Anolis sagrei: one gene and its partner. The protein of the gene in region 1 purifies or fractionates together with the protein of each later gene. This does not show direct contact. Links are inferred from orthologs where the notes say so. Each region holds a gene or a part of one and is shown in the gene's direction. Other genes may lie near its edges. The genes, in order: IPO4 and ASF1A.

The links.
Region 2: the proteins of IPO4 (region 1) and ASF1A purify together in Homo sapiens (affinity purification with mass spectrometry; 4 studies listed by BioGRID and IntAct, counting the BioPlex papers as one, with this or other methods). This does not show direct contact. The link is inferred for Anolis sagrei from reciprocal best matches to the Homo sapiens genes IPO4 and ASF1A.

The regions. Positions count from the first base shown.
Region 1 is NC_090026.1:7,966,225-7,981,389, forward strand, and holds the start of IPO4 (importin-4), read left to right. Parts: upstream 1-7,074; 5' UTR 7,075-7,273; coding exon 7,274-7,342; intron 7,343-11,145; coding exon 11,146-11,232; intron 11,233-12,865; coding exon 12,866-12,945; intron 12,946-13,205; coding exon 13,206-13,247; intron 13,248-15,165. UniProt on the Homo sapiens protein: Nuclear transport receptor that mediates nuclear import of proteins, such as histones, RPS3A, TNP2 and VDR. Serves as receptor for nuclear localization signals (NLS) in cargo substrates.
Region 2 is NC_090021.1:88,887,577-88,903,536, reverse strand, and holds the start of ASF1A (histone chaperone ASF1A), read left to right. Parts: upstream 1-9,328; 5' UTR 9,329-9,634; coding exon 9,635-9,743; intron 9,744-12,793; coding exon 12,794-12,909; intron 12,910-14,731; coding exon 14,732-14,908; intron 14,909-15,960. Other genes in the region: DNA helicase MCM9, read right to left, coding at 208-411, 1,385-1,587, 5,042-5,216. UniProt on the Homo sapiens protein: Histone chaperone that facilitates histone deposition and histone exchange and removal during nucleosome assembly and disassembly.

The DNA.
Region 1 (15,165 bases):
ATCTACTCACATTTGCATGTTTTCGAACTTCTAGGTTGGCAGAAGCTAGGGCTGACAGCGGAAGCTCACGCCACTCCCCGGAATCGAACCTGCGACCTTTCGATCAACAAGCTCAGCAGCTCAGTGCTTTAACCCACTGCGCCACCGAGGGCTCCTTAACATAACAAGATTAGTACACAGTAAACAAGAGCACTATGCTAGCTTTTCTATTTGATGACACGTTGGACATTTCCCAAGTCTGTCTGATGTATCGGTAAATAATGTGTGCGTATCTGAGTAGGGTGGCCTTTTGAAACTGACAGGTGGTAATTTTGTCAGTGTAGGTTGTTTTTAAGTGCAGGCCAAGGTCTTTAGGCACTGCACCCAGTATGTTAATCTCCACTGGGACAACCTTGACTGGCTTGTGCCAGTCTTTGCAGTTCTATCTTTAAATCCTCATATTGTCTAAGCTTTTCTGGTTGCTTCTCGTCAATTCTACTGTCACCTGGGATTACAGTGATGATGATGATTATTATTGATACCCTGCTTTATCTCTCCTAAAAGAGACTCAATGCAGATTAACATCAAAGCATTAGTATACAATTTAAAATATCTAAATATGCAAATATGAAAACAGAATTAAACACAAACAGCACTACAAAAAATCACAGTTAAAATCCATCAAAACATTCAAAGTCAAGGTGACTTTTAAACAAAAATATGAAAATATAAAGTTCACTCTAGCAATTTAAAAAATACAATACCATAATAAAGGTAGTGTTATAAAAGCTCATTGTATAAATCCAGCAAAACAACAATGGAACAAAAAACATGTATAGTAAGCCATTGCGATTCTTCTTGGTAAATTCTGGGCATGTTCACCATAGATTTAATCTACATCCTCTGGCTTTTGGGTCTCTCCCCTATCCTTGTTCAGGTCTATGGGATGGTTTGCATTATACCGTCTGTAAACAATGTGACAAGATGACAAACTTTATTGCTTTCATTCCAGGAGCTGTTCAATAAACCAAGGACTTTGCTCCCTGGTTGTTCTTTAGTCTGCGGTAAGCTTTGGCTCATTTCCTCCCCATAACAAGCCATGGAAATGACTTCAGGTGGGAGTTTTTGGAGGCTGAGAGTGTGTGACTTATACTAGGTCACAGAGTGTGGTTTTCATGGTCGAATGGGGATTTGAACCTGGTCAGGCCTGGGCAAACTTGGGCCCTCCAGGTATTTTGGACTTCAACTCCATAATGAGCACCTATGAGCCAAATTGGAGATTTAGAGGTCAATTATTATTATTAAATAAATTATTATTATTGATAATAATAATAATATATTTAATAATAATGAGCCTCTAAGCAGTTTCTAATGAGGATGATGATAATAATAATAATAGTAATAATATATTAAATAATAATGAGCTCCTATGAGCAAAAACAAAGGCTTAGAAGTTAAATATTATATTTCTAATAATAATAATAATAATAATAGTATATTTAATAATGATGAACCTCTAAGCAGTTTCTAATCATAATCTGTTTAATAATGGGCCCCTATGAGCTAAAATGAAGACTTAGAGAAGGTTTTTATTATTAATAATAGTGTATTTAATAATAAAAAACCTCTTAAGAAGTTTCTAATAATAATGATGACAGTATATTAAATAATAATGAACCTCTAAGCAGTTTCTAATAATAATAATAATAATAATTCTCACTACCTCTGAGGATGCTTGCCATGGAGGCAGGCGAAACGTCAGGCGAAAATGCCTTTAGAACATGGCCATATAGCCCAAAAAAACCTACAACAACCCAACAACAACAACAACAATAATAATAATAATAATAATGGACTCCCATGAGTTAAAACGAAGGCTTGGAGGTTCATCTGTCGAGAGTGCTTTGAATGCAATTTTCCTGCTTCTTGGCAGGAGCCTGACTGGATGGCCCACAAGGTCTCTTTCAACTTGATGACTCTATGGTTATCATTATTATTATTACTATTTCAAATAAGAGTATATGTAATGAATCTCTAAGCAGTTTCTAATAATAATAATAATGATAATAATAATAATAACAGATCCCAAATGTAGACTCTGCAAGAAAGCAGATGAAACACATCCTCAGCTGCTGCAAAAAGATCGCGCAGACAGACTACAAGCAGAGGCACAACACCATTGTTCAGGTGATTAATTGGAACTTGTGCAACAAATACCATCTTCTTGCAACAAGGAACTGGTGAGATCACAAGCCAGAAAAAGCTACAGAAAATGAACACGGCAAGCTACTCTGGGACTTCCGGATTCAGACAGATAGAGTTTTGGAGCACAAGACTCCTGACCTCACGATCGTGTTAAAAAACAAAGTATGGATTGTCGATGTTGCAATCCCAGGTGACAGTAGGATTGAAGAGAAACAACTGGAAAAGATGACACGATACGAGGATTTAAAGATCGAACTGCAAAGACTCTGGCACAAGCCAGTCAAGGTGGTCCCAGTGGTGATCAGCACACTGGGTGCAGTGCCTAAAGACCTTGGCCTGCACTTAAATACAATCGGCGCTGACAAGATTCCCATCTGCCAGCTGCAGAAGGCCACCTTATTGGGATCTGCATGCATTATTCGCCGGTACATCACACAGTCCTAGACATTTGGAAAGTGTCCGATGTGTGATCCAACACAACAGCCAGCAGAGTGTCTGCTGTGGACTCATCTTGTGGTGTTTCAAATAATAATAATATATGGAATAATAATGAACCTCTAAGCAGTTTATAATACTAATAATAAATAATAATGGACTCCCATGAGCTAGAACGAAGGCTTGGAAGTTCATCTGTCGAGGGTGCTTTGAATGCACACAGAAGTTACTTTCGTACTCCTAACTCTCTGAGTCAGGCCTGGGCAAACTTTGGCCCTCCTGGTGCTTCTTGGCAGGGGGTTGGACTGGATGGCCCACATGGTCTCTTCCAACTTGATGATTCAATGATTATGATTATGATTATTTGAAATAAGAGTTTATATAATGAACCTCTAAACCAGGGATCCTCAAACTAAGGCCCAGGGGCCAGATGCGGCCCTCCAAGGTCATTTACCCGGCCCTCACTCAAGGTCAACCCAAGTCTGTAACGACTTGAAAGCACACAACAACAACAATCCTATCTCATCAGCTAAAAGCAGGCCCACACTTCTCAATGAAATCCTAATAAGTTTATATTTGTTAAAATTGTTCTTCATTTTAATTATTGCATTGTTTTAAGTGTTTTTTGCACTACAAATATGTGCAGTGTGCATAGGAATTCATTCATGTTTTTTATCAAATTACAATCTGGCCCTCCAACAGTTTGAGGGACTGTGACCTGGCCCTCTGTTTAAAAAGTTTGCGGACCCCTGCTCTAAACAGTTTCTAATAATAATAATAATAATAATAATAATAATAATAATAATAGTGAATGGACTCCTATGAGCACAACATAAGGCTTAGGTAGGTGAGATCAAGCTAGTCCCCTGACATTAAGTCCAGTCATGTCTGACTCTGGGGGTTGGTGCTCATCTCCATTTCTAAGCCGAAGAGCCAGTGTTGTCCATAGACACCTCCAGGGTCATGTGGCCGGCATGACTGCATGGAGTGCCCTTACCTTCCCGCCGGAGCGGTACCTATTGATCTACTCACATTTGCATGTTTTTGAACTGCTAGGTTGGTAGAAGCTAGGGCTGACAGCGGAAGCGCACGCCGCTCCTTGGAATCGAACCTGCGACCTTTTGGTCAACAAGCTCAACAGCTCAGCCCTTTAACCCACTGCGCCACCGGGGGTTCCTAGGGTTAGAGAATCACTATTATTAAATATTGACAACTGGGAAATAGAGGGAGAAAACATGGAGGCAGTGACAGACTTTGTATTTCCAGGTGCAAAGATTACTGCAGACGCAGACTGCAGCCAGGAAATCAGAAGACGTTTACTTCTTGGGAGGAGAGCAATGTTCAATCTCGATAAAATAGTGAAGAGTAGAGACATCACACTGGCAACAAAGATCCGCATAGTCAAAGCCATGGTATTCCCTGTAGTCACCTATGGATGTGAGAGCTGGACCAAAAGGAAGGCTGAGCGAAGGAAGAGAGATGCTTTTGAACTTTGGTGCTGGAGGAAAGTTCTGAGAGTGCCTTGGATAGCGAGAAGATCCAACCAGGAAATAAAGCCCGACTGCTCATTGGAGAGAAGGATATTAGAGGCAAAGATGAATTTATTTATTTATTTATTTATTTCGGGTATTTCTACCCCGCCCTTCTCAACCCCCGAAGGGGGACTCAGGACGGCTTCCAACCGGCATACATTGATGCCTACAATTCACACAGTAAAATACATAGTAACAATAAATTATAACAGTTAAAACATTACATTAATACAATAAAAATACAATAAAATGCCAGCCTGGTGGCCATCGTTTTGCCAAGTCCGTAATTAATAAATTCATTCCGCTTATCATACTCCGTTTCCAAAGCTTTAGTCGTCATTGTCCATTATCAGTCTGCCAGATTATCCAAATGCCTGGCCCCATATCCATGTTTTTAATGTCCTTCTGAAAGAGAGGAGGGATGACGATGATCTAATTTCTACGGGGAGTGAATTCCACAGGCGGGGGGGGGGGGGGGGGCACCACGGAGAAGGTCCTGTCCCTCGTCCCTGCCAACCTCGTTTGTGACAAGGGCGAGGCTGAGAGCAGGGACCCTCTAGAAGATCTTAAATTCCTAGGTGGGACGTAGAAGGAGATACGTTCGGGCAGGTACGCTGGGCCAGAGCTGTATGTGTCCTTTGGCCACATCATGAGAAGAAAGGAAAGCTTAGAGAAGACAATGATGCTGGGGAAAATGGAAGGAAAAAGGAAGAGGGGTTGACCAAGGGCAAGATGGATGGATGGGATCCTTGAAGTGACTGGCTTGACCTTGAAGGAGCTGGGGGTGACCACAGCTGACAGGGAGTTCTGACGTGGGCTGGTCCATGAAGTCACGAAGAGTCGGAAACGACTGAACTAATGAACAACAACAACAATTATTAAATATACTGTTATTTCTAATAAAGCTTAGAGAAGACAATGATGCTGGGGAAAATGGAAGGAAAAAGGAAGAGGGGCTGACCAAGGGCAAGATGGATGGATGGTATCCTTGAAGTGACTGGTTTGACCTTGAAGGAGCCCCTGGGGGTGGCCACGGCCGACAGGGAGTTCTGATGTGGGCTGGTCCATGAAGTCGGAAGAGTCGGAAGAGTCGGAAACGACTGAACAACAACAACAATTATTAAATATACTGTTATTTCTAATAATAATAATAATAATATATGGAATAATAATGAACCTCTAAGCAGTTAATAATAATAATAATAATAATAATAATAAATGTAATAATAATGAACCTCTAAGCAGTTTATAATAATAATAATAATAATAATAATAATAATAATAATAATATATGGAATAATAATGAACCTCTAAGCAGTTTATAATAATAATAATAATAATAATAATAAATGTAATAATAATGAACCTCTAAGCAGTTTATAATAATAATAATAATAATAATATATGGAATAATAATGAACCTCTAAGCAGTTAATAATAATAATAATAATAATAATAATATATGGAATAATAATTAACCTCTAAGCAGTTAATAATAATAATAATAATAATAATAGGCTCTTATGAGCACAAAATAAGGTATGTTAGACTACAGCCAGGTATGTAAGACTACGGCTATCATTCTCTTCTGCACTGCCATATAAAATCCAGATCATCTGCTTTATTTATTTATTTATTTACTTTATTAGGTGACTCAGAGCAGTTTACAACAGTTTAGGTATACACAATACAAAATCATTAAGCATTTAAAAGCAATAGCATTACAAATCATTAAACATCAGTATCAATACATCACTACATCAATATAACAAATCCATCAGGTCTCATCAATGAAATCAGAATCCAAGCTCGTTATCCGATATTCCGTGTTCCGATAGTCAGTCAATCAATCACACTGCTTAGTCGAATGCCTGTTCAAACAGCCAGGTCTTTACTTTCCTCCGGAATGCCAGCAAGGAGGGGGTCGATCTAATATCTGCAGGAAGGGCGTTCCACAGCCAAGGGGCCACCACTGAGAAGGCCCTGTCTCTCGTCCCCGCCAGGCGTACTTGTGAAGCCGGCGGGATCGAGAGCAGGACCTCCCTGGACTATCTTAATGTCCTAACTGGTTCATAGGAGGAGACGCGTTTGGACAGGTAGGTCAGTCCAGAACCGTTATTTATTTATTTATTTGCTTTATTTCTATACCGCATTTTTCAGCCTGATTAGGCGACTCAATGTGGTTTACATAATACAGGTTATCACAACAGTATCATAAACAATTAAAACACATTATACATAACAGACAAAATCAAGAATCAATCATTATCATATCATAACGCCTCAATAGCAAATCAGAATCCGTTCTCATAATCCTTGTATCATTTTCCTATGTTCGATTTTACCATCTTCCTGTGTTCAGTTGCACTGTTTAGCCAAACGCTTGTTCGTAAAGCCAAGTCTTAACCTTCCTCCGGAATGTCAACAGCGAAGGGGCCTGTCTGATGTCTACAGGTAAGGCATTCCACAGCCAAAGGGCCACCACCGAGAAGGCCCTGTCCCTCGTCCCCGCCAAACGCGCCTGTGACGCAGGCGGGATCGAGAGCAGGGCCTCCCCAGACGATCTTAATGTCCTAGTTTAAAGGCTAAAGCCAGCACTTTGAATTGTGCTTTGAACTGGATTATATGGCAGTGTGGACTCATACAATCCAGTTCAAAGCAGATACTGTGGTCTGAAGAGATCATATGGCAGTGTAGAGGCCTTTCTTTTTTTTAATCAGTTGAGGGGTGTGTGTGGAACACTACAACTCCCATCACCTCGCCCTAACAGGGCCGCTGGGAGTTGTAGCCCAAGCGCCTCTGTGTGTAGGCCGCGGCCTAGTCCACGCAAAAATCCTGGTCGCCATGGAAACCAGAGCGAAGGCCGAAAGGCGGCTTGTTTGGGGGAGGCGCGAGAAAGGCCGGAAGTGGGCGCCCTGGGGCCGCTCTCTCCGGCCGGAAGTGGCGACTCGTCGTCTCCACATGTGCTGGCAAGGCACTGTTGCCGCTGCCAGCAGCTCCTCTTGGCGCCCTTCGCTCGCAGCTGGCTTTGGGGGCGCCTCCCCCTCCTCCTCCCCCCTCCTCCTGCCTTGGTGGAGGGGGGGCCTCCCCCTGCCTTCCCCCTCCCTCCCTCCCTCTGCGCCATGGCCACGGGGGACCTGGAGAGGATCCTGTCAGCCTTGCTGCAGCCTGACAATGCCATCATCCAACAGGTAGAGCAGCAGAATACTAATAATAATCATAATAATCATAATAATCGCATGGGGATTGGAAGGGAGAGGGTTTGGGGCATGACAATATCCACCCATGTGGGGGACTGAAGCAGAGGCTAGGCTGGGACAGGCATGGCTTGGGGCAGGGCTTGGGAAAGTTACTTTTGGGACCCACAGAAGTTACTTTCGGACTCCTAACTCTCTTGAGTCAGGCCTGGGCCAACTTGGGCCCTCCAGGTGTTTTGGACTTCAACTCCCACCATTCCTAACAGCCGAAAGGCTGTTAGGAATGGTGGCAGTTGAAGTCCAAAACACCTGGCGGGCCCAAGTTCGGCTGTTAGGAATGGTGGGAGTTGAAGTCCAAAACACCTGGAGGGCCCAAGTTGGCCCAGGTCTGCTCTGAGTACGACAACAAAACTTTATTTATATACCGCTCTATCTCCCCAAGGGGACAGAGCGGTTTCCAAGTAACGTAATCAATACATACAAAATAATAATAATAATAAACTTCATTTCTTTACCGCCCTATCTCCCCGAGGGGACTCAGGGCGGTTTACAACAGAAAATATTTATTTATTTTATTTCACGCATTTCTACCCCGCCCTTCTCAACCCCCCAGGGGGGACTCAGGGCGGCTTACAAAAGGCACAATTCGATGCCAACATAAACATAACAATGGATAAAACATGTAAACAGCAATTGTAACAATTAAGACAGTTAGTCCATATATTAAAATCAATAAAAACAATCTAATGCTCAGCGTTTGCCATCTCATAGTCCGTAAATTCATTTCACAATGTCAAGTACTCACGGTTCTGGTCATCATTGTCCTTATCTAACCGCCAGATTGCCCGAAAGCCTGGTCCCATAACCATGTTTTTAATTTCCTTTTGAAAGAGAGGAGGGATGTCGATGATCTAATTTCCCCGGGGAGTGAATTCCACAGGTGAGGGGCCACCACCGAGAAGGCCCTGCTCCTCGTCCCCACTAATCTCACTTGTGATAGAGGTGGGATCAAGAGCAGGGCCTCCTCAGAAGATCTCAAACTCCGAGGTGGGACGTAGAGGGAGATGCGTTCGGACAGGTACGCTGGGCCGGAGCCGTATAGGGTTTTGTAGGTCAAAACCAGCACTTTGAATTGTACTCGGAACTGGATTGGCAGCCAGTGGAGCTGACATAACAGAGGGGTGGTATGCTCCCTGTATGACGCTCCGGTGACTAATCTGGCTGCCGCCCGCTGGACTAATTGAAGTTTCCGAACAGTCTTCAAAGGCAACCCCACGTAGAGTGTGTTGCAGTAATCTATTCGGGATGTAACAAGAGCACGGACCACTGTGGCCAGATCTGACTTCCCAAGGTACGGGCACAACTGGTGCACAAGTTTTAATTGTGCAAAAGCTCTCCCGGCCACCGCTGAGACCTGGGGTTCCAAGCTCAGCGATGAATCCAGGATCACTCCCAAGCTGATAGGCAAACATTCAATGCCAGCATAACATAACAAACAAATCAAATCATAAACAATAAAATAAACAACATCAGGTGTACTTATACAGCATACACATAAAATTACCAAGACAATCTATATACCGAGTATAAGCCGACCCGAATATTAGCCGAGGCACCTGATTTTACCACCAAAAAAACTGGGAAAACTTAATGACTCGAGTATAAGCCAAGGATGGGAAATGCAGCAGCAACGGGTCAGTTTCAAAATAAAAATAGATACCAATAAAATTACATTAATTGAAGCATCAGTAGATTCACTGTTTATTAATATTTACTGTAAGATAACTGTCCAACTCTGACTAAACCATTATTCTAACCTTCTTCAATGTACATGTGTTTACGTATCCTTCCAGTAATAATAGAGTAAAATAATATATGTAATAGTAATAAAATAATAAAGTTAACCTATAAATGTAATACTACTACTACGAATAATAATAGAGTAAAATAATAAATGTAATAATAACAATCATAAATAGAGTAAAATAATAAATGTAATGATAACAATTATAAAATAAAATAATAAATGTAATAATAATAATAAAGTAAAATGAAAATAATAATAATAAATAGAGAATAATAATAATAACAGAGTAAAACAATAAATAACCTTGACTCGAGTATAAGTCGAGGGGAGCTTTATCAGCCTAAAAAAGGGCTGAAAATCTAGGCTTATACTCGAGTATATGCAGTTAATATAAATGTAATGTTCGTTTGTGGGATTAACATAACTCAAAAACCACTTGACGAATTGACACCAAATTTGGACACAATATACCTATCAGGCCAACAAGTGATCATCACTCATAAAAACACTGAAAAACAGCAGAAAAGACTTTAAAAGACAAAAAATCAAAAATACATTACAACACATGCACAAAACCACATATATAGACAAACACACATATATACACAAATATATACACACACATATATACACACAAGGCCACAGCAACATGCGGCAGGTGACGGCTAGTCTATATAAATAAAAATGTAATGTTCGTTTGTGGGATTAACATAACTAAAAACCACTGGATGAATCGACACCAAATTTGGACATAAGACACCTATCAGGCCAACAAGTGACCATCACTCAGAAAAACACAGCAGAAGAGACTTTAAAAGACAAAAAAAATCAAAAATACATAACGCATGCACAAAACCACATATATAGACAAACACACATATATACACATATACACAATACACATATATACACAATATATATATATACACACACAAAACACATTTACACAGACAGGGCCACAGCAATGTGTGGCAGGGGACGGCTAGTCTATATAAATAAAAATGTAACATTCGTTTGTGGGATTAACAACTAAAAAACCACGGGACGAATTGATACCAGATTTGGACACAAGACACCTATCAGGCCAACAAGTGACCATCACTCATAAAGTGGATTAATTCTCTAGTGTGATGAAGTAGTAGGCGTATATTTTCTGAGGAATTCAGGGCACTTTGAGTCCAAAAATATAATCTGAATTTAAACACGAATTTTAAACTCGTGTCTTGCGTTTAACCTCTTCTGTGTATTTTAATATGTATTTTATAGAAATACGTTTAATATGTATCTTTTATATTAATATGTATATAGATTTTTTTATAATGTTTATGAGTTTGAATTATGCTGTAACCTGCCTCAAACCACAAGGAAAGGCGAGTAAGAAAATTATTATTATTATTATTATTATTATTATTATTATTTTCTAACTCTAGACATATGGTGGTTAAAGGATTCTTAAACTTATACTTCAATAATAACTTCCTAACTCACCTTAGATTTATATTGGGTGAAATACAAATCTAAGGTAAAGCTGCATTATAGTTGTGAAAAAAGTACACGTTAGTTTAGATGAAATATGGTGTTTTCAGAGGGATTTTGGGAGTTTAGCCATGTGCTGGCTCAGGGGTTTGGGGACTTGTCATCCAAAAAAGTAACTTTTCCTAGCACTAGGTGTGTATTGTTTGATTTGGGTACTTTTGATCTAAAAACTGGCTCAGACAAGTAATCAAATCCCTACTCAGTCATGGAAACCCACTGGACAACCTTGGACAAGTCATACTCTTATGTCAGCTTTAGAGGAAATCAGTGCTTCTCTTGCCAAGAAAAGACTAGGATAGAATCACTGTAACTTGAATTTGACATGAAGGCACGTAACAACAAGTAATGATGAACAAAACACATTAAGCCCTCTTCCCAGTGACTTTCTATACCAGCTGAATTTGTATAGATTTGACTGCCAGACCTTTCATCTTGGTTTCTGTTTTGCCCTAAGGCCACAGCCCAGCTGAAGGAGGCCCTAAAGCAACCTCAGGCGTTGTCCCATCTCAGCCATGTCATGTCCAATTCTCAAGATCCACAGGTAAGTCATAGTGAAACCAACTCCTTATTTTCAACCTACTGAAGCTGATTTGGAATTTTTGAAAAGATATTGTTGGTGCCAGTCACAAGATCCCTACTGTGTGTTTATGGCACGCCCAAGGTATTTTTTCCTTGGGCATGTCCAGTCAGGTAATGATGGATGCCAGCGAAAAAATCCAACCTCTCACAAGCTGTATTTGCACAGTAGAATTAATGCAGTATATTTATTTATTTACTGTATTTGTATACCGCCCTTCTCAGCCCTCAGGCGTCTCAGGGCAGTTTACAGTGGCAACGATTCAATGCCCAAAAACACCATAAAACATTTAAAAACATTAACAAATAATATAAAACCATAACAAGACTATTAAAACATAGATTATTTACTATTTGTGTCTCTTAATAAAGAACATTGTCCCATCTCGTTGTCCAGTCGTTCCAATTCCTATGTCTTTTACCTTGCATTTTCAAACACTTGCTCAAACAACCAAGTTCTGAAATGTTAAGAGGGAGGGGGCCGATCTAATGTCCCCAGGAAGGGTGTTCCATAGCCGAGGGGCCACCACTGAGAAGGCCCTGTCTCTCGTCCCCACGAAACGTGTTTGTGACACAGGCGGGATCGAGAGCAGGGCCTCCCCAGACGATCTTAAAGTCCTAGCAGATTCATAAGGGAAGATGCGTTCAGACAGGTAAGTTGGGCCAGAACCGTTTAGGGCAGTGGTTCTCAACCTGTGGGTCCCCAGATGTTTTGGCCTTCAACTCCCAGAAAGCCTAACAGCTGGTAAACTGGCTGGGATTTCTGGGAGTTTTAGGCCAAAACACCTGGGGACCCACAGGTTGAGAACCACTGGTTTAGGGCTTTATAGTTTGGCACCACTTTGACTGTCATGGCTTAATGCTGTGGAATCGTGGGTGCTGAAGTTTTACAAGCTCTTTCACCTTCTCTGCCAAAGAGTGCTGGGGCCTCACCAAACTACAACTCCCAAGATTCCATAGCATGGAGCCATGGGAGTTAAATTGGGTCGAACTGTATTAATTGAAGCTAAATTGGGGTTAAACTGTATGTGTGTAGATGCACCCATATTCTTCGCTATAACCTTCCTGTGTAGCCAGTACACAACTCAAGACCATAATGTAAATTTTGTTGTGTTTAGCTGAGGTTCCTGCGTTTGTATAGTTGGCCCTCCAGATTTGAAAGTTTACATTTTGTGGATTTGATTATTTGCAGATTTAAGTAATACGTTCCTTCTGTGAATTTCTACATCCCTAGTATGACTATATCAGACCTGGGCCAACTTGGGCCCTCCAGGTGTTTTGGACTTCAACTCCCACAATTCCTAACAGCCTACTGGCTATTAGGAATTGTGGGAGTTGAAGTCCAAAACACCTGGAGGGCCCAAGTTGGCCCCATGCCTGCTCTATATGGTCATCTTACACCAGATGTTTACCACAGAGTTGTTCTGGAAGACATGGTGATTCCTTCCCTTGGCATTCATAGTCCTCCAATACCATTCTGTGCTCAACTTCCAATTGCAACTATTTCTTAGGCATGCCATACACATACAGTGGGGACCCTGCGGCTCTCCCTCCGACTCCCTCATATATCTGCTTCTCATCCTCTGCTTTTTCCTCAGATCCGTCAACTTGCTGCTGTGCTGGTGAGGAGGCGACTAACCAAACACTGGAAGAAACTCAGTGCAGTTGAGCAGGACACGTGAGTGCTGAAGAAGGAGGCTGCGAGGGAACCGGTGTCCTTTCTAATCTTGTAGGACTCCAACCCTCATCATTCTCTCCAACATTTCAGCTGGGGAAGAATGATGGGAGTTGTAGTCCCCAAACAGGCAAAAGGTCACAGATGCTACACAACTGCAAATATAGAAAATGGGAGCTTGAAGAGCTTGACTGTGATTCTTTCTTGGCCTTTCTTTCGTTTTCCACCCAGTTGTCGTAAACATGTCTTCTTGTCTCTTGCAGGCTGAAGAAGCTTGTGCTGACCGTTTTGCAGAAGGAAACAGAGTAAGTGCGTGCTACAGACTTTGCACCCAATAATTTAAGAAAACTTTTGGTGTGCTTCAGAACTTTTCCCCAAATGACATATGTTTGTGCTGTTATGTTGTGTGGAAGGAGAAAAAAATGCAAGGCTCTTCATTGGAGCTTGAAAAAGTTAATGTTTTTATTTTACGGGCTGTGATCATGTTAAGTGTGGATTCTGGGAGGTGTAATCCTAAAAGGAAAATTCCAAGTTCTTCCTGTTGATTGGTGCTAAGGAAATTCTGAGATCTTAGTCTTGTCTCCAGCTGAAGCCACTGGTTAGGGCAGAGGCATACAGTGAAATCTGGGGACGTTAAATAGCAGGACAGTCCAAAAATTCAGGCCTCTTCAACCTGCAGCCTTCCAGGTTTTTTAGACTTCCGCTCCCAGAATTCCTGACCATTGAACAGACTTGAGCTTCTTAGGCCCCTTTCCACACAGCTGTATCAAATCCACATTGAACTGGATTATATAGCAATGCGGATTCAGATTATCTACCTTGATATTCTGGGTTATATAGCTGTGTGGAAGGGCCCTGAGAGTTAGAGACCCAAAACCTGGAGGGTTGCAGGCTGAAGAGGCTTTGTCTCAATTATATTTCCCATGGAATTCACCAACTGGCACAGGCTAAACATGGGTGCATATTGATCTTCAGGCTAAACATGGGTGCATATTGATTAGATGCTAAAGATATATGCCTATATATGTGTGTGTATACATACACACATACATATAATTCTTCCCTTTGTGTCATAGAATCATAGAATCAAAGAGTTGGAAGAGACCTCATGGGCCATCCAGTCCAGCCCCATTCTGCCAAGAAGCAGGAATATTGCATTCAAATCACCCCTGACAGATGGCCATCCAGCCTCTGTTTAAAAGCTTCCAAAGAAGGAGCCTCCACCACGCTCCAGGGCAGAGAGTTCCACTGCTGAACGGCTTTCACAGTCAGGAAGTTCTTCCTCATGTTCAGATGGAATCTCATCTCTTGTAGTTTGAAGCCATTGTTCCGCATCCTAGTCTCCAAGGAAGCAGAAAACAAGCTTGCTCCCTCCTCCCTGTGGCTTCCTCTCACATATTTATACATGGCTATCATATCTTCTCTCAGCCTTCTCTTCTTCAGGCTAAACATGCCCAGCTCCTTAAGCCGCTCCTCATAGTCAAACTGGTTTTTGGACTTGGCAAAAATATCAATGGGTTAGTTGGTTGTCTACAGAGCCAGCGTGATAAAATGGTTGAAAACTGGACTAGGAGACCTGGCTTGAAGTCCTCGCTCATCCATGAAAACCTTGGCCTGGTCACCCTCTCTCAGTTATTATTATGATGTTTATTTATACCTCATTTTTCGTCTCCACAAGGAGACTCAAAGCGGCTCAGCTTCAAAGGAAAATAGTGGCAAATCCCCTCTGAAGTAATCTTGCCAAGGAAATCCTGTGATAGGCCTGTTGTGAGCCAGACTCAATTTAAAGGCACAGAAGAACAATAGTCTTGTGTCTTTGCACTTAGAGGCCCTTTGCTGTGTTGGAGGTGGCATGGTTGTTCTTTCTGGAGAGTCACTAAGTTGGGGGCATTGTGGGGTAAGTGGAATAAGGGCTCTCATATATATATATATATATATATATATATATATATATATATATATACACACACACACACATACACATGCATATATCTTTAGCATCTAATCAATATGCGCCTGTGTTTTACTGTGCAAGTTGGTGAATTCCATGGGAAATATAATTGAGACAAGGCCTCTTCAGCCTGCAACCCTCCAGGTTTTGGGTCTCCAACTCTCAGGGCTCTTCCACACAGCAATATCAAGGCAGATAATCTGAATCCACACTGCTATATAATCCAGTTCAATGTGGAAGGTGTCTAAGAAGCAACAAGTCTGTTCAATGGT
Region 2 (15,960 bases), on another chromosome or scaffold:
TTTCAGAAGTGCCAATATTTATTCAAGCTTGGCAAGTTCTTAGAAATAACATTTCCTTCTTTGGGACAACCAGCAACTTACAAAAGTGAGAAATGTGGCTTTCTTGTCACATTAGACTCTCTCCCACACTTAGGACTTTCCCCATTTGATCCCTTTTGCTTGATGTAACCATTTCAAGAGAAAGGAAAAGAACCACTGAATCCTCACCTTCAGCTAACCGTATCAAGCTCTCCAATAAGCGGATGGTGGTTCGTGCAGCATTTCTGCAGTCGCTCTGCCTCTGCATCTGATAATAGCGGACAAGAATCAGGTTGCTTTCCTCAGTCAATACTGGCTGCAGGCTCTTTATAAGGCAAAAATATGTTTTCATTTTTTCCATAGTCCAAAGCTTTTCAGACACACTTGGGCAGCCTGCAAAAAGAAATTTTCAAAAGCAATGTTGCTGAATACACGAAGTTTGAAGTAAACCAACTATGTTAATTTTAACTAAGACTACTTTATTTTTGTCTCTTGAGAGCATGATTTAAAAACAATATATTTTATGGGAGAGTGGATTTTTTGGGCAACTGAAATAACACTTCTGAAGATCTACTATATATTTTGTGAATTGTCATAATCTTTGTTTTTAACAGTTCGAAGAGATAACCAGGTATATGAACCTAATTTGCCTTGCATGAATACTAGTGGATATATACAACTAAAGAGAAGATTCAATCAAATAAGTTTTTAGCTCTTCTCAGGAAGATCATACTTTACAAAAAAGTTACGATTTTCCAAATGGTAGTGAATGCCAATTAATCTCCAAAAGGTCACACTTCCAAAAAGCTTTGGAGATTCTGGTTTTCCAAAAGGTTATGATCTCAAAGATCATCTTTTTCCAAAAGCTTTCCATTAAATCAACATTATTATTTGGGGTATGATAGAACATCCAGAGATGCAGAGAAATGACTTTAAAATTACTAAAATTAGGAAAGCCCAATTGCTTTGAGCTCTTAGATGCTAGATTCATTTCGCTTTGTGTGCATGATTACATTGCTGTTGTGTGTAAGGTTGGGTACATCAAAACACCTAAAAAGATTGAATTTCACTGTCAAAAGTAAAGTTAACAACTTGTAATGATCATATATATTTAAAATATTGCAAAATAGCCTGAGATTATTTATTTTCAAAATGTTTTGTAATCTAGTATAATCAAAGAATATAGTACAATTGGTGGCATACTTTTTTGTTAAAATAGTAGAAGTCAAATGGGATAAATCAAAATACAATTTCCCTATCAGCTGTTGCTATTGATCAGTTTTAAGTGTTTCGTGAACACATGAAAAAAATGTAGCTAGTGTACATGTCAATACGTGGTGTAGAATAAATGCAAACGTCACCATACCTTTATTTTCTAATATGAAGGAAGAAATGACGCGATCCCATTCTTCGTTTTTTGCATCCAGCAATACCAAGACAAGATCAAACCTGCTAAGAAGAGGACTTCCAAGCGCTATGTTCACTGAGACAGATTCATTGGGATCATACTGGCCCTTGGGATTGGTTGCTGCCAAAATAGTGGTCCTTGTGTTCAGTTTGCACACTAAGCTAAAGAGAAAGATGATAGAAATTTAAATAATCAAACTATGAAAAATGTTTAAACTTCTTGACATCTTTCATTTTAGACTCCACCTGCCCCAAAAGCATTTCATAAAATTGTATGCAGAGTGAAATATATCCATGTAATAAATCACATATTGGGCAACAGATGAAATCAGGATCTGGGAAATGACATTTGGGCTGGAGGCCATGCTCACCATTTTAAATGTCAATTAGCCAGTATTTGAATGATTTAATTGGTACTGCATTTCTTTTATTCTAAGACGCACTTTCCCCCCATAAAAACATCTCTAAAATGGGGAGCGCCTTAAAATAGCAGGGGCTTTAAAAATATATAAATAAATCCTTTTTTTTTCTGTTGGTGGTACTGAAATTTGTGTGTGTGTTACAAATGATGGCATCTTAGAATTGAAAAAAATACGACAATACTCTGTTGTTGCTGTTCTTGTTGTTAGGCAAGTGAAATTTAAGTTTGGAAAGCCAGTCCTGAAATCTTAAATCTAGATTCTGTCAGGCACTACATATCCAGCTCCATCCTCATCTTGACTCAAGCTACTAAACTGCTATTAAATTCTACCCAAAAAATCGCTATTTTTAAAAAAAATTGAATAAAAAAATCCTGACTCTCTATTTAAACCCTGGCTCTTCTGCTGTGCCTTTGGTGAGTAGATGCACAACATGACACTACTGCTCCCCACAAAGCTTCTATCACTGGAGTACATGCCCCCCCCCCCAAATTGGAAAGTTTGGTTCCACAACCCTGTGTTTTTTATGAGCTCCCCCCTCTTGTAAATAACTTGCTCCTCTTCTTATCTCATTTGAGTTTTTTAACATTTTATCCTGCACATGTGGCCCGCCCACTGTCACCTTGATTGTGTTATTGTAATGTTATATTGTTATTGTATTCATATGTTTTTATGTAATTATGATGCTGTTGCTTGTTGTTTATGTTTTTGGTTTTATTTTGTTGCAATATGTTGTCTGGGCTTGCCTCATGTAAGCCGCCCCGAGTCACCATTGGGGAGATGGTGGCGGGGTATAAATAAAGATGATGATGATGATTATTATTATTATTATTACTATTATTATTTTCTGGGAGATATGCTGAAGCAGAACAAGATTTCATTTAGATTAAAGAGGCTGGAAGAAATTACCTTTACATATAGAGAGGATCTCAAGTGAACTCTTTACAGCAGTAATTCCCAACTTTTTAGTGCTAAGCCCAGTCTCTTACTATTAAAACACATAATCGGTTGGTAGGAATTATTGCAATTTTCCCCTTTGCCTTTAACTGTATCTTTCTTTGTAATTCTTTTCTTTTCTTTTTATTTTTTTGTTTTTATGTATTTGGAGGTGTATGTGGGTGTGAGATATACATACATACATAAGCAACATGTTTCTTAATACTTCCAACACTGATGTTCTTATGTAGTGATAAACATACTGCATTTAGGGTGAGACACAAATGCTCTTTCTCTCTCTGTATATTATGGTGCGCAGATGTTTTCACAGATGCTTACAGAGTTTCGGTATGCAAACAACTCTGGCTATAATAAGAGTATCTGGAACCAGTACACATTTTCCCTCTTCCTTAATGTATTTGACCTTGACTTAAGGTTTGGTTTCAGAGCTCCAGAAGAGTGTTTTGGTTGCGGCAGTCATAGCATGCCCCCCTTCATTGCAGACAGCTAAACAGCTGTGCGAAATCAGATTTAGGAATAATCTATTTCGAGGTGGTGCCATCTTAGCTCTTACCTCATGTATTGAGTGGGAACAAGTGTAGCACCAATAATCTTAGCTTTCATATCAGTAGTACATAACATGGGAAAAGTATTTTGTCTCTTAGCCAGAAACAACACAAATTCAAAAAAGAAATCGATGTTGACTCTGCTCTATAATACCGTAAGGATTTCTAAATATGGAAGCAAAACCTTGGAGCCCCAGAACAAATACTTGGAGTAGAAAAGGGGTCTAAAATTCCATCTTCAATACCAAACAACGGTTTCATTTCTCTCCTGACTAAAAATGGGTTTTCCCTCCCTTTTTGTTCAAATAGCATCCAATAATGGTCATTTTAAGGCTGTGTTTATGCTCAGTCTTACACTGGTACAAGAAACGGGATTACAGCATAACAATCAGAGCACACGACTTATAACAACTATACTGGTTTCATATAAAATTCTACAGCACACAGCACACTTTGTTCTATTTCTTGAGACCAACCAAGAACGGGCAACTTGGAAGTTCCTGAACAGGTTCAGAAGTGGAGTGGGCAGATCAAAAGACAACTTGGCAAAATGGCACTACCAAGAAGAATCCTCCACCTTGTGTGACTGTGGAGCAGAACACTGCATCTGTATGCTTACCCACTCTGCATCTGTATGCTTACCCACAATGCCTGTCTTATGGACAGATGAATAATTATTTAAAGCTACAGACAATGAGGTCACTGTTGCCCATTTTGGATCTAAAATTATTTAGTCACTGGTGCTTCCTGTATTTTATCAGTTTTATACTTATTTATGCAGTGCTTTTAACATGAAATAAATATATTTCTTGGGAGTGCAAACATATGCAAGTGTGAATATGTCCAATGGAGATATAACCCAGGATTTGAATTTAGGATTTATCTCTATTGTAGAAAAAAATGGCTGTTTGTTGGGAAAGTGGAGGGACAAATAGAGAACAAACTAGCAAGATTAGAAAACTGCTGGTACTCATCATAAAGTAACATCAAGAAAATCTTTCAAAAATCATGCAGTTTGACAACGATGGGACAAAGAAATATGTATGAACACCATAGGGAATAACATCACCATCAAGTTACTCCAAACTCTCTTTAAGGAAGGCTATTGTTTCTCAGGAATGAAAGGATATATTTTGTAGGCCAGGAGTAGGCAATTCCACCCCTCCAGATGTTTTTGGCCTACAAGGCAAGGGATTTCTGGGAGTTGTAGGCCAAAACACCTGAGAACCCACTGGTTGAGAACCACTGGTCTAGAAAGTCTTCACCTAGGAGCCCTTTCTTAGACCTAGAGAGAGGACACCCTGGGCTACACAGCATCAGGAGTAATGAATCACGTCATTAGCATTCACTTGTAGTGCCTTGACTCACAGTGCCTGCCTCTGGAGAAGGATCCCTCAAAACTAATAATTTGGACTTGCTCAACTCTATATTCATCGCAAGGCCCTTTTTCAAAACACCTTTTGTTTCGTTCTCAAATAGAGGCAGAAAGGGGAGGGAAGCATCTCTCTTCTGTGAATGCCTAAGCTGCCACTATGGACCACACTGGTTCACATGGAATATCAGTGAAAGTGTCAACAGACAAAAATGAAAAAAAGGGGGCACAGATGCTAATTCATAGCACATAAGGAAAAACAGACACTTACCCAAAGGGCACAGATGCTAATTTGTAGCACATAAGGAAAAACAGACACTTACCCAGCTTTTGCTACACTGATTGTTTGTTGCTCCATGGCCTCATGAATGCTGGTTCTGTCATGTTCTTTGATGCTGTTAAACTCGTCAATACAGCAAAGACCCCCATCAGCTAGAACCAACGCGCCAGCCTCCAAATTCCATTCTCCAGAGTCTTTCACAGCAGTGACCGTCAAACCTTCGGGGGGGGGGGGGGGGATGTTTTTTTTAATAATTTGAAAAGTTGTTTTTTTTACAGTGAGTGTTCAACTCTGGCTGAAGAGTAAGCTTTGAGTAATGCTTGTTAAGGTACCTTTCATACTATACAATTATTGCATTATAGTTACGGTGGTGTACAATGAAAACTCTGGAGACCATGGCTCAAATTTCCACTTGGCCATGAAACCAATTGGGTGATCTAGAACAAGTCACTCTCATAGGTCCTTTCCACACAGCTGAATAAAATCCCACATTATCTGCTTGGAACTGGAATATATGTCAGCGTGGACTCAGATATCTCAGTTCAAAGCAGATATTGTGGGATTTTCTGCCTTGGTATTCTGGGTTATATGCCTGTGTGGAAGGTGACGAAAACCTCTTCTGAACTAATCTTCCAAACAAAACCCTGTGATAGGTTCATTTTAAGACCACCTGAAGACAGAAATCACTTGAAAGCACACAAAACAACAACAGCAACTTCATTTCAGCTGCCAAGTTTCTACCCTATGAAGTCATGGGGAGCTCACTGGCTGATAAATTTAAATATCATTCCCTGAAAGGAAAAATCCCAGGATTTCGCAAGAGGGAACCGCAGTAGTCAAAGTGGTATGATAGTGCTTAGCACAGCGGGTTAAACCGCTAAGCTGCAGAAAATCCTGCCGCTCGAAAGGTTGGCAGTTCAAGCCTGGGTTGGGATGAGTGCCTGATGTCAGCCCCTGCTTCTGCTCACCTAACAGATCAGAAACAGAAATGTGAATAGATAAATAGATACCACTTTAAAGCCGGAAGGTAATAAAAGGGGTCCATAAGGACATGCCGACGATTCAATTGGGACGATACCTATAGACGTCAAAAGCTCTTTGGCGTGGAAGATGGAGTGACAACACCCCCCCCCCCCCCCCCCCCCGTGGCCAGAGTTGAGCACAGCCTCCAGATGCTGGAAGCAAAAAAAAAAAAAAAGATGAGAAAGCCTTTTCCTCTGTTTAAGTGTTGTCTGTCCTTGTTAACTGTATAACGGCATTGAATATTTGCAGTATATGTGTTCTATAATCTGCCCTGAGTACCCTCAGGGAAATAGAGAGGAATATAAATAAAGATGATGATAATGATGATGATGATTATTATTATTTGAAACATAACAAGATGAGTCCACAGCAGACAAGATCACTCTGCTGACTGTTGTATTGGATCACACGTCAGATTCCCAAGTGTCTAGTATTGGCAAATAATGCCTGCTGATCCCAGTAGGGTAGCCTTTTACAGCTGGTAATTTTGTCAGTGCCAATTGTGTTTAAGTGCAGGCCAAGGTCTTTAGGCACTGCTCCAGTGTGCTGATCACCACTGGGACCATCTTTACTGGCTTCTTGTTTTTGTTTTTGTTGTTATTATTATTAGTTGCTTAGTGTAAAAGATCTTATGGTCTTAGAACTCATGAATATGACAGAGTTACTGAATATAGGTGAACAGAAACAAGAAACTCCTGGCAATGATCCAGTTACAGAATGAGGGAGTTGTAGTCCAATGTACTAGGAAGACTACGTTGCGAACGTTTCCTCTAGATAAGGGTGCAATTGGGCAGCCTGAAAGATGGCTGCGGGCCACTGGCACAATGGAGGGATAAAAACAATTTGTGGTGTGGCCCTTCAGGCATGGGGATCCCCGGGTCTACTGCTTGGGGATCCAACAGTGCACCAAACCGTATAAAATTCTTCAAGGAATGCCTGATTCATAGCTCTGAGCCATGGCACTTAGTGGTGCCACACTGCATTGATTCTATAGTGTTGGTGCACCCTCTCCAAACTGCAATATGCTGAAAATGAAACTGATTTGCAGCTACTGTTTTCCCTTTTATGGACATAACTGACATTTTTGCCCTTAGCAACCAACCAATGTTGGTTATCCACGAGCCTGTTTATGTATGTAATGCAGGGTCACAATTGATTAAAAATAATCCGTCAGCAGTGACTTGAGAAACTTCAAGTCGCATATAGTGTGAGAATTGGCCATCTGCAAGGACGTTGCCCAGGGGATGCCCAGATGTTTTGATGTTTTTACCATCCTTGTGGGAGGCTTCTCTTATGTCCCCGCATGAGAAGCTGAAGCAGACAGAAGGAGCTCATACACGCTCTCCCCAGATTTGGACCTCCGACTTGTCGGTCTTCAGTCCTGCCGGCACAAGGGTTTAACCCACTGATAAAATATCATGCTGAGACTGAATTGAAATGTATTTATATGAGTTTGGATCCTTGCAGTATTAGATAACCAATTCTGTTTCCTTATCCATCCCTCTCCCTCCACACACATTTCAGCAGACTGCTTGTCCTTGAAATCATAAATGTCATTTGAAAGGGAGCTGCAGCGGGTTAAACTGCTGAGCTGAAGAACTTGCTGACAGAAAGGTTGGCGTTTCAAATCTGGGGAGCGGGCTGAGCTCCCATTGTTAGCCCCAGCTTCTGCCAATAGCAGTTTGAAACATGCAAATGTGAGTAGATCAATAGGTCCCACTTATGTGGGAAGGTAATGGTGTTGCATGCAATCATGCTGGCCACATGATCTAGGAGGTGTCTACGGACAACGCCAGCTCTTCGGCTCAGAAATTACCATTATCTTTGCATTAAAGCCTTGAATGCACTGGTTCTCAACCCAGCCAGTTTACCAGCTGTTGAGATGAGAACCGGAGGCTTGCAAGGTGAACCACTGCTTTAGTGATTCACCCACGGGCTGCCAACAGAACAACAGAACTGGAGTGTACTTCCCCCACACAACCAAGACAATACCACGATCAAATAACCAAGAACACTGAGTGCCATGTCCCACGACTCAGATAATGAATAGCAAATGAGTAATAAATACTCCATAAGCCACACAAGTGAATAATCAGACGCTACTTCACAATACAGTCATAATTCACATGCTGAACAAGCACTGACTAGGAAACATAGAGATAAATTGTCCAGAAAGTCAAATCATTATAAGCCAGCCTCATATTCATCAGGAAATAGCAGTGTAGGACAGGTGACTAAAATGATCAAAGTTCTGGAGAACAAGCCCTATGAGGAGCAGCTTAAAGAGCTGGGCATGTTTAGCTTGCAGAAGAGAAGGCTGAGAGGAGACATGAAGGCCATGTATAAATATGTGAGGAGAAGTCATAGGGAGGAGGGAGCAAGTTTGTTTTCTGCTGCCCTGGAGACTGGGATGCGGAACAATGGCTTCAAACTACAGGAAAGTAGATTCCATCTTAACATGAAGAAGAACTTCCTGACTGTGAGAGCTGTTCAGCAGTGGAACTCTCTGGCCCTGAATGTGGTGGAGGCTCCTTCTTTGGAGGCTTTTAAACAGAGGTTGGATGGCCATCTGTCAGGGGTGCTTTAAATGTGATTTTCCTGTTTCTTGGCAGGGGGTTGGACTGGGTGGTCTCTAGGATTGTAGGCATGGGCAAACTTTGGCCTTCCTCCAGGTGTTTTGGACTTCAACTCCCTACCAGCTGTTAGGAATTGTGGGAGTTGAAGTCCAAAACACCTGGAGGAAGGCCAAAGTTTGCCCATGCCTGGTGTAGGCTGGAGGCTCTTCCACATAACTTCAGAATATGGAGGCAGAAATTCCCACATTATCTGAGTGTGGACTTAGAATCATAAAATCCTAGAGTTGGAAGAGACCTCGTGGGCCATCCAGTCCAACTCCATTCTTCCAAGAAGCAGGAAAGTTGCATTCAAAGTAACCCCGCGAGATGGCCATCCAGCCTCTGTTCAAAAGCTTCCAAAGAAGGAGCCTCCACCACACTCCGGGGCAGAGAGTTCCACCGCTGAACAGTTCTCACAGTCAGGAAGTTCTTCCTAACGTTCAGATGGAATCTCCTTTCTTGTAGTTCTGAGCAAATATTGTGGGATTTCCGAGATATAGGGCGGCGTGGAAGGGCCCTGGCTGCAGTCTGGATGGCGTGGGATGTTGGGCACTGAACCCGGGAAGCCTTGGTCAAGAGGAGGCAGCTCCCTTGTCTCCCTCGGCTGCTTCTCCGGCAGGTGGAGCGCCAGGCGATGCTTGGCTCTGCTTCCAAGCCGGGCGCCCTTCTTGCTGGGCCCGGGAAGGAGCGGCCTCGCGGCGGGAGCAGCCAATCCGCGCCTCCGCAAGCCCGTTTCCACGCGCGGAGTGGGCCCGCCCGGGGAAGGAAGAGCGGCGCAAAGAGGCGAGCGAGCGAGCGAGCGAGGGAAAAAGCGAGAGAGAGGAAAGAGCTCCCTGCGAGGGAACCAACTGGGGGAGCGTGGCTTGGCAAGGGAAGGAGACAAAGCGGATTAGGAGCGGGCTCACTCCCTGGGAAAGTTTCCCCAACTCCTGGCTGGCTGGCTGGCTGGCTGGGGCCCCGGGGCCCTCTTTGGAGGAGGAGGAGGAGGAGGAGGGGCCATGGCCAAGGTGCAAGTGAACAACGTGGTGGTGCTGGACAACCCCTCGCCCTTCTACAACCCCTTCCAGTTCGAGATCACCTTCGAGTGCATCGAGGACCTCTCCGAAGGTGAAGGGCTGCAAAGGGAGAGAGAGGAGGGAGAGAAGGGAGAAAGAAAGGCACAAAGACAGCACTCAAGTTGGGAGGCACTTGTTGGGCCAAGGCTGGGAGCAGCCATGTTGGGCAGCCCTAGGGCGGGGAAGCTCATTGCACACACAGGAACACGCCTATAGACTTCTACACACACACTGAAGTTATACACATAAACAGTTGTACAGACACTTATAGAGAGGCATGCTCACACAATTGCACAGAGAAACACTTATGCAGAGACAAACACTAGAACACAGACACAGGCAAACACTTGTACACAAACATATTTATGGAGACATACAGTAACACCTTTGCACACACAAACACTGCTGGGAGCAACCATGTTGGGTAGCCTTAGAGTGGGATTGCAGGGGTCTAGGCTCTTTGCACACACAGGCACACGCTTATAGACTTCTATATATATACACACACTGAAGTTATACACATAAACAGTTACACAGACACTTATAGAGAGGCATACCCACACATTCACACACCGAAACACTTATGCAAAGACAAACACTGACACAAACACTACGACACACACACTTATACACATGCAAACACACTTGTACACAAACATAGCAATAGAGACACACAATAACACATTTGCTTATGCAGAGACAAACACTGACACAAACAAGAAAACAGTAGAACACAAGCTCACTTAATAGACATGCAAACACACTTGTACACAAACACACTTTTTTTGGCACACAGTAACACACAGAGACAAACACTGACACAAACACAGGCTTACATGCAAACACTAGAACACTGACACACTTATAGACATGCAAACACAGTTATACACAAACACAGTTATGGAGACACACAATAACACATTTACACACAAACACTTACGCAGAGACAAACACTGACACAAACAAGCAAACAGTAGAACACAGGCACGCTTATAGGCATGCAAACATTCTTGTACACAAACATACACTGTGTTTTTGCATACATAAGCACTTACACAGAGACAAACACATGCTTACATGCAAACACTAGAACACAGACACACTTATAGACATGCAAACACTTGTACACAAACACACAGTTATAGAGACACATGATAACACATTTGGACACAGAAACACGTAGAGACAAACACTGAAACAACCACACATTTACACGCAAACAGTAGAACACAGAATTGTGCCGTTTGTAAACCGCCCTGGGTCACCTTCAGGTTGAGAAAGGCAGTATATAAACATGGTAAATAAATAAATAAACACAGACACACTTATAGACATGCAAACACGTACATAAACATACATTTGGTTATAGAGACACACAAGAATACATTTGCACACAGGAACACTTACGCAGACACAAACACTTGACACAAACACTAAAACACAGACACACTTATAGACGTGCAAACACACTTGTACACAAACATAGTTATGGAGGCACACAATAACACATTTGCACACAGAAACACTTATGCAGAGAAAACACTGACACAAGCACACATGCTTGCATGCAAACACTAGAACACAAATACACTTACAGACATGCAAACACACTTGTACACAAACACACTTAGTTATAGAGACACAAAAATACATTTGCACACAGAAACATGCAGAGACAAATACACAAGGCACAAATACAGATATATGCTTACACACAAACACGTTTATACATGGACGCACACTTGTACAGACACATGTTTATATATGCAAGCACACTTTTATACACACACACACACAATAGTTACACAGACATTTATGCGGACATGGTAACATATTTGCACACAGAAACATTTATGCAGAGAAATACTGACTAACAAACAGACCCAACTACACACAAACACACATACGCTTGCATGCAAACATACTTATATATGGACACACACTGTTAATACAGACACACATTTATATATGCAGTTACAAACAGTTACACAGACACATGTATACTTACACTAACACACATTTGCACAGAAACACTTATGCAGAGACACACTGACAGACATGCAGAGACAAATACACACACATTGACACATGCACTCTTACATACAATCACATGTATACATGGACACATACTCTTACACACACACACATTTATATATACAAACACAGTTACAAACACTTACACGGATACATTGACACACAAACATTTGCACACAGAAACACTTATGCAGAGAAACGCTGACACATACACAGACACATGCAAACACACAGAGACACACTTACACAGACACATTTAAGGTATACAAACACACTTATACAGAAACAAACACACTTATACAGACACTTACATTAACAAACATTTACATGCAAACACGTAGCAATAAGCACTGACACATATACAGATACAAATACACACACACAGACATCTAAACACTCACACATACACTTACATGCAGATACTAGCAGGCACATATACAGGCACACATACTGACACAAACTTAGATATGCAGACACAGACTTACGTGCAGACATGTGGACACAGACTTACTTGCAGACATGTGGACACACACATACAGAGACATGCTTATTCACAGGCACACATACTTCCATGGCTCAATGCTGTGGAAACTTGTGAGTTGTAGCCTGTGTAGATAAAGCTAAAGACCCTGTCAAACTGCAATTCCCACGATTCCATAGCAATCGACCATTGCAGTTAAAGTGGTACAAAAATGCATAAATTCACCAGTATGGACACAACCAATACCTGGTGCCACCACACCTGGCAGAATATTTATGGCTCATGCTAAAGTACAATTAGCAGAAGGCTCCATTTGATTTGACTGAAACCAATGGTAAGGTATTAGTAGGTAAATAATAACAATGTAGCTTCCCCCCAAAAATTAAGTGGTGCAGAAACATTTTTGGAAATAGTGATTTTCAAGATTTGTCTTTGGATAAAGATGTTTACAATCTCAAGCTCTTTTTTTCCTCTCTTGCTTAAACATTGCCATATTAGGGATTGGGAAAAGTGACACTAGAAGTCAATTCTGATACTTGTGGAGCTTCCAAGTACAATTTCATGTTGTTTTTTGTCTTCTAATGTAGATTTGGAATGGAAAATCATCTACGTGGGCTCAGCAGAAAGTGAGGAATACGACCAAGTTTTAGATTCCGTTTTGGTGGGCCCTGTACCTGCGGGAAGGCATATGTTTGTTTTTCAGGTAAGTTTTCTCTTATGCCTTACTGAATTATGTTTAGATGACATGACTATGCGACAGGTCACAAATTCTAATGTTAAATGTCCACAAAAACTTTAGACTTATCACATAACTGTAGTGGTTAGGAGATCTAAGCTTTAACTCATATGTGCAAGTCTGGATGCATCACTCTTTATGATAATAATAGTCAATGGTTTCTCTGCAGAGGAGAGAATGCGGCTGAGCATTTTCAGTGTTTCACCAATACCTGATAGGCAACGAGAAGAACAGGACAATCTTGGCCTCATCTCCACTGACCATTTAATGCAGTTCAAAACTGGCTTCAAACTGTGATGGCCAGACAACAAACTCCCACAAAATTACACCCAAGAAAGCTCTAGTTTGTGTGATAACCATCCAGGCCTCAGACAGGTTCCAGGATTCATCAGCACAGCAAAAACACTTCGTTTAATACTGGTTTGAAACTGCATTAAATGGTCAGTGTAGATTAGTGTCCTTGTTTTATACCCTTTTGTTTTATTTGGTGGTGTTTTATCTGATTGTTATGCTTTGCTATGTTTTATTATAATTGTATTTTTTTTTGTTTTTAATGGACTGTTTTGTTTTGATGGAGGCCCGTTCTTTGGAGGCTTTTAAACAGAGGCTGGGTGGCCATCTGTTGGGGGTGCTTTGAAGCCAATTTTCCTGCTTCTTGGCAGGGGGTTGGACTGGATGGCCCACGAGGTCTCTTCCAACTCTATGATTCTATGATGTTTTGTGGACATTTTGTCCCATGTGTAAGCCGCCCCGAGTCCCTTCCAGGAGATGGAGTCAGGGTACAAAAATGAAATTATTACTGTTATTATTATTGTATTGTTGAAGGCTTTCATGGCCAGAATCACTGGGTTGTTGTAGGGTTTTTGAGCTGTATGGCCATATTCTAAAAGCATTCTCTTCTGACCTCACAACCTCTGAGGATGCTTTCCATAGATGTAGGCGAAACGTCAGGAGAGAATGCTTCTAGAAAAATCTACAACAACTCATTATTATTATTATTATTATTATTATTATTATTATTAGCGCCTAAGCCCCAGAGTCCAAGCGAGGCAGTGCCCGCCAGGTATTCAGGTGTCCTAGTGGTGATAGAAGTTGCAGCTGAAGAATATCTGAACAGCCACAAGATTCCCGTCCATGCGCCTTCTTTTTCTAACGTTGAGTGAGTGGCAGAGATAGCCTTTCCAAACATGCATTTAATGTTGTCCAGCTACTTTGTTTGCTTATTTATTTATTATGTTGGCTTTAATAATTATGGCTTAACTCTTAATTGGATATCAATAGCATATTGGGGACCTGTTGTCAGAGATATTGAAAGTTTAGCTAGGCCACTTAAGTATTCTAATATTTTGTGCGTGTGTGTACACATAAGCTTTCAGGTGGCCCAACTTGGCTTCCAAGCCATTCACATCTTGAAAAACAAAGATATATCACTTTTCAAAGCACTCTTTAATTGATTCAGCCCCTCGATTTGGATTATGTTCAGAGCTCCATTTCCCTCCCCCACCTGCTCTTTTGTGAGGACTTTATTTAAAAACTAATTTAGATATGTTTTAAATTTTATCTAAATGCCTGAGCCCAGTGCCTCACAAGTTGCAAGACACAGAAATGCAACATTAGGTTAAATTATTCAAGAAGCAACTTTTATATGATGGATTTGGGGCATTCACATATGTTTTTTTACCATGCTAAGTGTCTTTATCAAGGAGATAGATTATGAATTGTTTATTTTAAAAGTGGAAAAAATGTTCTCAGTACTTTCCTAACTTTTATTTGTTTGATTTGGCTGCAGGCAGACGCTCCTAATCCAGCACTTATTCCTGATGCAGATGCCGTAGGAGTAACAGTTGTATTAATCACATGCACCTATAGAGGTCAAGAATTTATTAGAGTTGGCTACTATGTAAACAATGAGTACACGGAAACAGAGCTGAGAGAAAATCCTCCAGTAAAGCCAGACTTTTCTAAGGTAGGACATACATGAACGTACTTCAAATTTAATTCAAATAGAAGAGAAATGAAACCCACGAGCAAGCTAGTGGTTTCTTAAACAAAAAAAGTGACTTGTATTTGGAAGTCTGAAAGAATAAGAGTTCTAAATCTGAATTCATCTTGGGCAGTCATCAATAAGTATATCTTGCTCTCCCTTTTGGAAGCCATCAGTTACTGTGTCTTATTCCTATATATAGGGGATCCCAACCTGTGGTCCGTGGACCACCAGGCATTGTCCGTAGATGCCTCCTAGGTCATGTGGCCAGCATGATTGCATGGAGCGCTGTTACCTTCCCACAGAAGCGGTACCTATTGATCTACCCACATTTGCATGTTTTCAAACTACTAGATTGGCAAAAGCTGGAGCTAACAGCAAGAGCTCACCCCACTCCCTAGATTCGAATCGCCAACCTTTCAGTCAGCGAGTTCAGCAGCTCAGCGGTTTAGCCTGCTGCACCACCAGGGGGCCCTGACTTACCCATTTATTATACCAAAATCCATAATGTTGCCCCCCAAATCTGCCTTTATACATTCGTAATATTACCTTGAAGCCTGTTCATTTATAATTATACATACTTGAATTGGAAAAAAACCCCAAGTTTGTTCTAAGCTATATACCCATACAATCCTTTTTTGTCTTGTGTACCAATCTATTACTTTACACATCTTCATAAAATATTTTTAAAAAATATTACTTTACAGGTGCATCTAATATAAAATGTCATTAGCTATAGTGTAGTAGCACAGCCCCAGTGTGAGACTGGGAGTGGCTCCAGATTATATGAGATTAACATTGGAATGTATGAATAATAGCTACTGAGCCATGTATAGAGAAAATTTTTCTCTTGCAAAACGAACATAGCTATCCTCACAAATGAAATGTGCTATGTTTTGTTTTGTTTTTTAAAGTAGAATTTAAAGAAAATCAAGAGTGAAAGAATTGTTCTCTTTTCCTGCACCCTGGAGTTTTACTATAATATTTCAGCTGGCAAAACAAATATGTCCAGATCTCTTACAACAATTAGTCTC